2 linked regions of the Drosophila melanogaster genome follow. The protein of the gene in region 2 interacts with the protein of the main gene of each other region in a pairwise test. Each region holds a gene or a part of one and is shown on either strand. Other genes may lie near its edges. The genes, in order: CG7483 and ND-B14.5A.

Region 1 (4,192 bases), on a different chromosome or scaffold from region 2:
GATCTATTCCCTCAACATTGACAACCCCAGCGACTGCGCCAAAAAGTTCATATCGAACCACCAAGTAGGACTCATTCTCTTCCTCGGCATTGTTCTGGGCACCCTTCTGAAATCAGACGAAAGCAAGAAACAGCGACAATCCTCACTAACAACATCGACGGCCAGCTCGTACGTTCCAGCGCTGCCGCAAAAGCCAGAAGTTTTAAGCTGAGATGAGCCAGACGAGCGTAGATTGTAGTGTTAAATTATGTTTATAGCGCGCTTTTTGATTCGCCAAAACCAAAGTCTCTAGGTATCTGATTAGATAAAATCTTGTAAATAGGCTTATGACCATTTTTAGCTCATTTGCAATAGGTTAAGTCTTAAAGAATATTACTAAGTGCACACCTCACTTAAACATCAATTAATTCTTAATTGTAAGTGCCCGCCTTGACGTAAGAACTTACGTAAATCACCCATCCCCTGAGCCCTCCTAACCCATTTGAAAAGCAAACTGGTTTCTGTATTAAATTCTTACGTGTTATTTATTATTATTATACAGATTTTGGTTGTCTATTGAAATTCAAATACTCTTCAAATGTATTTACTTCATTCGTTTGTTGTTACGGCTAGGAAAAGTGCGTTACATAAAAGTAATGATAGAATATTAGTTTAGATCAAGTCAGCCACGTTCATGGGCATCTCGTCGATTTGTGTGGAGTAGTACTGCTCAATGTCGCGCAGGATGCGGATATCGTCCGATTTGACAAAGTTAATTGCAACACCTTTGCGTCCGAAACGACCAGAACGACCGATGCGATGGATGTACAGCTCACGGTTGTTGGGCAAATCGTAGTTGATGACCAGCGACACCTGCTGTACATCGATACCCCGAGCCCACACATCGGTGGTGATGAGCACTCGCGACTGGCCGGCTCGGAACTCCTTCATGATCTCGTCACGCTCCTTTTGCGGCATATCGCCGTGCATCGAGCTGACTGTAAAGTTAGCCTCGCGCATCTTCTCCGTCAGCCAGTCCACCTTGCGTTTCGTGTTGCAGAAGATGACGGCCTGGGTAATGGTCAGAGTATCGTACAGATCGCACAGGGTATCGAATTTCCATTCCTCGCGCTCCACGGCGACGAAGAACTGCTTGATGCCTTCCAGTGTCAATTCGTCACTGTGAGGGAATGGAATTTATGAATCATACTGCGTATATGGGGGAGCATCATATTGCTTACCGCTTGACCAAGATGCGAATCGGATCTGTCATAAATTTGGAGGTCATCTCGAGTATCTCGTGGGGCAAGGTAGCTGAGATGAGCACCACCTGGGTGGCTGGTGGCAAGTAGCGATACACATCGTATATCTGTTCCTTGAAACCCTTATTAAGCATCTCGTCAGCTTCGTCCAGCACTAGCATCTTGATGGCTCTATAAAATGTACTTATAATTATAATATTGTTTGATCGGGCACAATGAAACATACCTTGTTCGCAGCACTCGTCGCTTGATCATGTCGAAGACTCGTCCTGGAGTGCCGCTCACAATGTGTTGACCGTAGTCCAATTTGCGGATATCCTCGCCCAGGTTGGTGCCACCGATGCACACATGGCACTGGACATTCATCATGTCGCCGAGGGCAAGAATGACTTTCTGGATTTGCACAGCCAACTCGCGAGTGGGCGACAGGCACAGAACCTGCGTCTCCCGCAGCGTGGTGTCCAGGCTCTGCAGGATGGAGATGGAGAAGGTGGCGGTTTTGCCCGTGCCTGATTGTGCCTGGGCAATCACATCCCGTCCCTTGACGATAGGCGTAATGCTCCTTTGCTGAATGGCCGAGGGTTTCTCGAAGCCTTGGGAGTGCAGAAAACTGGATTAGTTCTAGACCGGCCATAGGTATACACACCACTCACCGTACGCGTAGATGCCGCGTAGCAGCTCCTCCTTTAGATTCATGGCGTTGAATGTGGGTATCACCTCCACATCCTCGCTCGTCTCGAACTCCACGTTGGAGAGGTCCTCCGCCTGGGCATTCTTGCGCGCCATGTTCACGATTTGTTCGCGTGCGGTTTCGGCTGATATTAATAAATATTTACAGTCTTTTTCGGCTAATTTTTCTGACTTTCACAGAAAAAAATGCGGTCCGCTTACTAGGGGTGGCCTATCAATTGCTTAGCAACAATCGATTATTGAATCGGCGTCGATTTAATTTGATATCGATATGTTTTCACTTATTTTGCGACAAGTGGCAACACTGATATCGGGCGGAAAAAATTTAAAGTGAATATATGTTCTTATTTATTGTATTTTATAAAATATAAATATGATTATTGCCATAACAAACAAGAAACTCAACTTGTTTTTTCCGGAGTGCTACTTCTTCTCCTGCGCAGGAAGTTCTCGAGCGACTGAAGATCCTTTCGCTTCAGCATCTTAATCCTGCTCACCAGTTTTTGCAAAGCTTCGATCCGTTGCTGTGCTTCCTTGGCGGCGTCGTTGGCCTTCTTAGCGCTCTGCTTATTTCGCTCCAGATCCTTCTGAGCCTCGCACATGCAGCTATGGAGCTCTTCCACCCGCATCCTGGCCGCTTTCAGAAGGCTGCGCTTTTCCAGGGCCTCTTTCTGGGCACTGTCGGCCATCCTCCGGATGTTATCGAGATTTCCGCCCATTTCCTTTAGCATACTCTTCATAATGTTCACGGATGTGCAGAGCTTGTCACGGATCCCCTTTGCCGACGTCGCCGAGCACGAGCTGGCAGCAATGGCTCGTTGGATTTCCTCGATAACCCTGTTCGTTTCTGCCAGACTTTTGGTGTATTCATCGAGGAGCTGCTTCTTCCCGTTGAGAGCCGCCTCCGCAGCCTTGGCCGCCTGCAACGCCCTGTCCGCCAGCATTTCCCGTGCCCTGTAGCCCGCCATCTCCGCGGCACATGGCTGCGCATCCTTGGCGTCCTTCGCATCCTTGGCCGCCTTCGAGGCCACCTGGCTGGCTTTCATGCTCGTCTTGCAGGGAAGGGAGCCGGGCTTGAAACGCGGATCATTCCGCTGGGCAGGATGCGCGGCGGTCGACAGCAGGATGTTCGAAAGAAGCAACATCGTAACCAGGGAGTCGCAACGCATTGGGAATCTTGCATCGTACATAAATCTCAAGGCTCATCAGGAAATCGAAATGTGGAGATAATAATGGGAATATAGCAGCTCCACCTTTCAAATCACTATTATTTGAAATATTTGTACAGTAACCACAAGTTACCTGGAGTATATATTTCTTAAATATCTTTAGAAATCCGTTTAATACAACTATTTCGAGTTAAGCATGGAGATAGCACGAATCGCATTTCTACTTTTCTTCCTGTTCTCAGATCATTCTGCGGGCCACAAGTTGCCGCAGTCCTCCAATGAGATAGCTGCTCTAATGTCGGATCATCATGGTGATGGCGACAACAGTGTGTCGTCATCCTCCGGCGGTGCCCCGTGCGACTTCAAGATGAATGGAAAGACCAGGGTAAAGGCCTCATGCATTGCGCAGAAGGCGGCCAAGGAAGCCATGGAGGCATCCGATGCCCAGATAGAGGCTGGCGAGGCAGCTGCCCGCCAGGTGAAGCAGCAACTGGCCGACAAAGCGCTGGCCGCAGCCAAGGCGGCAGAAGCTGCTCTGGCCGGCAAGCAACAGATTGTCGAGCAACTGGAGTCCGAGGTGCGCGAGGGGGAGCTAGTGGTCCAGGAGGAGAGCACCTTGTTACAGACCACCCAAACTACTTATGCTGCGGCCGGGCAAGCGGCCAAACAGGCGGCAGATCAGCTGAACACCATTACGCTGGCGGTGAAGAATGCGCAGGATAATGTGGTCAACTCGGAGCACGTGGCCAGTGGCGCTCAGCAGGAGCTGGGCGAGAAGCAACAGCTTGTGGAAGCGGCCAAGAAGCGGGTGGAGCTATTGCTCCGCCAGCTGGAGGTGGCCCGTGTGGATTTCAAGAATACCAAAAACGCCGCCGAGAAGGCAGCCTGTGCTGCCCAGGAGGCCAGGCATAGGGCCACCAGGGAGCGCAGGAGGGCGGAACTGAGGCACTTACTCTGGCTGAAGAGGGGGCGCACCAACTGAAGCCAATAACTTGTATATCTTATATTTTATTTTACTTTGCATTTTCAAAAGGGAGAATATAATTCAGTTTTATTAAATTCAATAGTTCGTAGGTGAGATCACAATTATAA
Region 2 (3,665 bases):
GCGAGCTCCTACAAAAAGCCATTGCCGATGGAGGAGATGCCGACGCTGCCCTCTTGAACGATGTGGGCCAGAAGCGTCGTATGGCTCTTCTTGATGTGCTGCTGAAGTCCACCATCGATGGGGCTCCGTTGAGCAACGACGACATCCGCGAGGAGGTAGACACCTTCATGTTCGAGGGTCATGACACTACGACCAGTAGCATTGCTTTTACCTGTTATTTGCTGGCTCGACATCCTGAGGTTCAGGCTCGCGTCTTCCAGGAGGTCAGAGATGTTATCGGTGATGACAAGTCGGCTCCAGTTACTATGAAGCTACTCGGCGAGCTCAAGTACTTAGAGTGCGTGATAAAGGAGTCTCTGCGCCTGTTTCCCTCGGTGCCGATCATTGGACGCTACATTTCCCAGGACACCGTACTCGACGGCAAATTGATACCCGCCGACTCGAATGTGATCATTCTTATTTACCATGCTCAGCGCGATCCAGACTACTTCCCTGATCCGGAGAAGTTCATCCCTGATCGTTTCAGCATGGAGCGCAAGGGCGAGATCAGTCCATTCGCCTATACTCCCTTCTCAGCGGGTCCGAGAAACTGCATCGGCCAAAAGTTCGCAATGCTCGAGATGAAGAGCACCATCAGCAAAATGGTGAGACACTTTGAGTTGCTGCCTCTGGGCGAAGAAGTCCAGCCCGTACTGAACGTTATCCTGCGCTCGACCACCGGAATCAATTGTGGCCTCAAGCCGCGCGTCTATTAGGTGTTCCTGGATTGTGATTTTTTTTTTTTAACTAGTTGTAAGTGATGGGCTCTGTAAATATTTGAATAAAATACTTGTACATAATGATATCCAGTGATGGATGGTGTTTTTTCCGGCGAGTGTGATTTGGAAATAATGTGGACTGGTAAGGGGTTCTCACTTGGCCCCCCATAACTGGACATACCAATGCCCGCATTCCTGCTTCAATTTGATTCTATATTAGCTTTAACCGGCTCGTACTACAACTCAAAAAAAAATGGATGGTGATTTTTCCCGGAAGTGGGGTTTCGAAACATTGTGGGCTGGTAAGGGGCCTTTCACTTGGCCCTTCATCACTGAACATACCAATGCACGCATTTCTGCTTCAATTTGATTCTATATTAGCTTTAACCGGCTCGTACTACAACTCAAAAAAAGGCGATTCCCGCGGTGATGCGGCCCATTAATCCCAGGCATAGACCTTGCCGGGAGTGGGCAGCTTGGAAGACGGGGCCTTCGCCGCTTCCCCCTCTGCCGCCAGCTGCTTCTGCTGCTCCACCAGGTCGATGGGCGGCAGAACCTCGCGACGTCCATCCCGCTGGCAGTAGTAGTTGGCCGAGAGTAGATGCGATGGACCGTCAGGGATTTCCGGCTGTGGCTGGGTGCGATCGGCCAGTCCGTCCTCGAAGCGCAGGGCCAGGTTGTGCTCCCGCTGTAATTGGCGTCCAGATTAATCAGAGATTCACATTTTCCGTCTTATATAACTGAGAACCGAGTTCTCTGCGGTCGCTGTCCAAATGTCGGATACTCACACCCAGGAGGAAGGCCCGAATGCGCTGGATTAAAGGCGACACATCACGGCGCAGGGCAGACATTTTCCGTTTGTATTATTCTTCAAATTGAGAAACCACTGAATATTTTGGTTTTATATTTATTTGTGAGGTCCAGCCCTGTCGTCCAATCGATATCAGCTGCTTGAAATTACGAAGTATCGTTAATCGATACCCACGCCTCGTCCTCTTAACTTTGCTTTGCTGCCCTGCAATTGATATACTTATCGATAACTATCGCGAAGAAAAGTTGATATAGTAACGGCCGAATTTTTAATTAAAGATTAAAAGCAGAGAACAACTACGAGAAAGAGCACATAAAACTGCCTAGGCAATGAGTCATTTAGTTAGTTATGAAACCAGCACTTCCAATCGTTTTGAAACTAGAAAAACAGGACTTGGTTATATTGTGTCTATGTACGTGTATTTATTTTATTAGTATTTTATTGCCTTGCACGTTCCCAACTTTTGTGAGTGGGAAACCGTAGTTCATTTCCATAGAGTAATGGTTAACAAATTGAGGAAACTGGCTCCTTTGGTCGTCCATTAATAATATACAAGTAATAATAATAAATAAAAAGTTACTCTCGATTCTGTCTTCAGTGTTGTGTTGCTCTAATTGTAAATTAAACTAAGTACGCCGTAAACTAAACTACTGCAATTTAAAGCTGCCGCTTTAGTAGTTGCGAGAGTTCCTTTTAAACGATTTAAGGGGATGTTCCTTCCTTCCTTCCCAGCTAACAAGCTCCCTGTTCCGCCTTAAGCGGGCGTCGACTCTGGTTGGGATTGGGACTGGTCTGGCGAGGACTCGCTGGCCGTTCCGGGACTGGGCGCCAGCTGCTCCACGCTGACGGTGCGTACAAACTCGGCGGTGGCTTCAATCACAATTGTGGGTAAGTCATCAGCAGGTCCTGCCGGTGCAACTGCAGCGGGTGCTTCCTCCGCCTGCGGTTCGCTGGTGGTTGGTGTGGTTTCTTCTGTGGATGGTGCTTCTGTGACTATCACAGCCACGGGCGCCTGTTCGGTCACCTCTGGCTTGGCTGGCTCGATCTCAACGGTACTCGAAGCAGGAGCTGTTGCCGGTGTGGGCTCTGTAGACGGAGCTGGAACTGCTGCCATAGTGGACTCTGCCACAGGAGCAGGTTCTGCAGAAGTTGTGGGCCCAGCCACAGGCGTGACTTCTGCAGCAGGCGCAGGAACAGGTACAGGAGCCTTGGGTGCCGGCGACGCTGACTTCGACTTGGCGGACTTGCCCACAGCCGGCGAGGGAGTCCTCGACTTCAGTTTTTGTTCGTGAGCACTGCGATCCATCAGCACCGAGGTGGACTGCGGAGGCGCTGGACTAGCCGCCCTCTTGATGTCTTCAATCTTGGCCTCCATCTCACTGCGTATTTCCTTGATGGGCTTCAGCAGAAAGACGGGAACGTCATCGTCCCTCCGCTGGTACAACATCTCGCCCTCGAAGTCTACCAACTTGTGTTTGCGGGCCCGCAGCAGGATGCCCACCACCTTGTCGGATATGTAGTTATAGATCTGTAGAGTGGAAGTGACCAGTTTAGAGGGCTTTTCGAAAAATATACCAGCTGTAAACAGGACACTCACATTAAAAAGTTCGCCGAAGGGGATCACACGCATAGTGGGCTCGTCCTTGACGTCGTAGCCCTCCGAATTGATGATCTGGCAGAGCTCCAGCATCTCCTTCATCACGTGGATGTTGGCCTTCTGGCCACGCATCTCTGTAAGGCTGCCGGCCAGTGGTTTTCCATACTGATCCTTCGAGAAAGTGGGTTTCGGCGAGGCGGCGCGTCCGTCCTGGGAAAATGGATTCAGCAGCTGCGACTGCTTGTGCTGCGTGGCCTGGTTGTTGAACATGGCCACCTTGGAGGACAGTGGTGAGTCCTGCAAGTAACGAAGAACACAAATGGCTTAAATCGGCGCTTAAACTGGTTTTTCAGGGAAGGAAGCCAAACTTCTTCTTTCAAATGGTAGCGTTGCCAGACTGGCTGCGAGCCCTCACTGCAACTACTGTAAGTTGATCGCGTTGCCAACGATTCATTAGAGCGGGTATTTTAAAATCTAAGCTCAGCCACCATGGTCTTGC

The links.
Region 1: the proteins of ND-B14.5A (region 2) and CG7483 interact in a two-hybrid assay, tested with the Drosophila melanogaster proteins (one large-scale study listed by BioGRID).

What each region holds. Positions count from the first base shown.
Region 1 is NT_033777.3:8,311,173-8,315,364, reverse strand, and holds CG7483 (uncharacterized protein), read right to left. Parts: upstream 2,158-4,192; 5' UTR 2,028-2,157; coding exon 1,895-2,027; intron 1,835-1,894; coding exon 1,468-1,834; intron 1,413-1,467; coding exon 1,221-1,412; intron 1,160-1,220; coding exon 652-1,159; 3' UTR 501-651; downstream 1-500. Other genes in the region: Coq2 (coenzyme Q biosynthesis protein 2), read left to right, coding at 2-211; CG11698 (uncharacterized protein), read right to left, coding at 2,333-3,121; CG11694 (uncharacterized protein), read left to right, coding at 3,297-4,082. UniProt on the Drosophila melanogaster protein: ATP-dependent RNA helicase. Core component of the splicing-dependent multiprotein exon junction complex (EJC) deposited at splice junctions on mRNAs. Involved in exon definition of genes containing long introns, including the rolled/MAPK gene.
Region 2 is NC_004354.4:2,170,587-2,174,251, reverse strand, and holds ND-B14.5A (NADH dehydrogenase (ubiquinone) B14.5 A subunit), read right to left. Parts: upstream 1,727-3,665; 5' UTR 1,610-1,726; coding exon 1,547-1,609; intron 1,447-1,546; coding exon 1,198-1,446; 3' UTR 820-1,197; downstream 1-819. Other genes in the region: Cyp4d14 (cytochrome P450 4d14), read left to right, coding at 1-755; CG3630 (uncharacterized protein), read right to left, coding at 2,324-3,097, 3,167-3,463.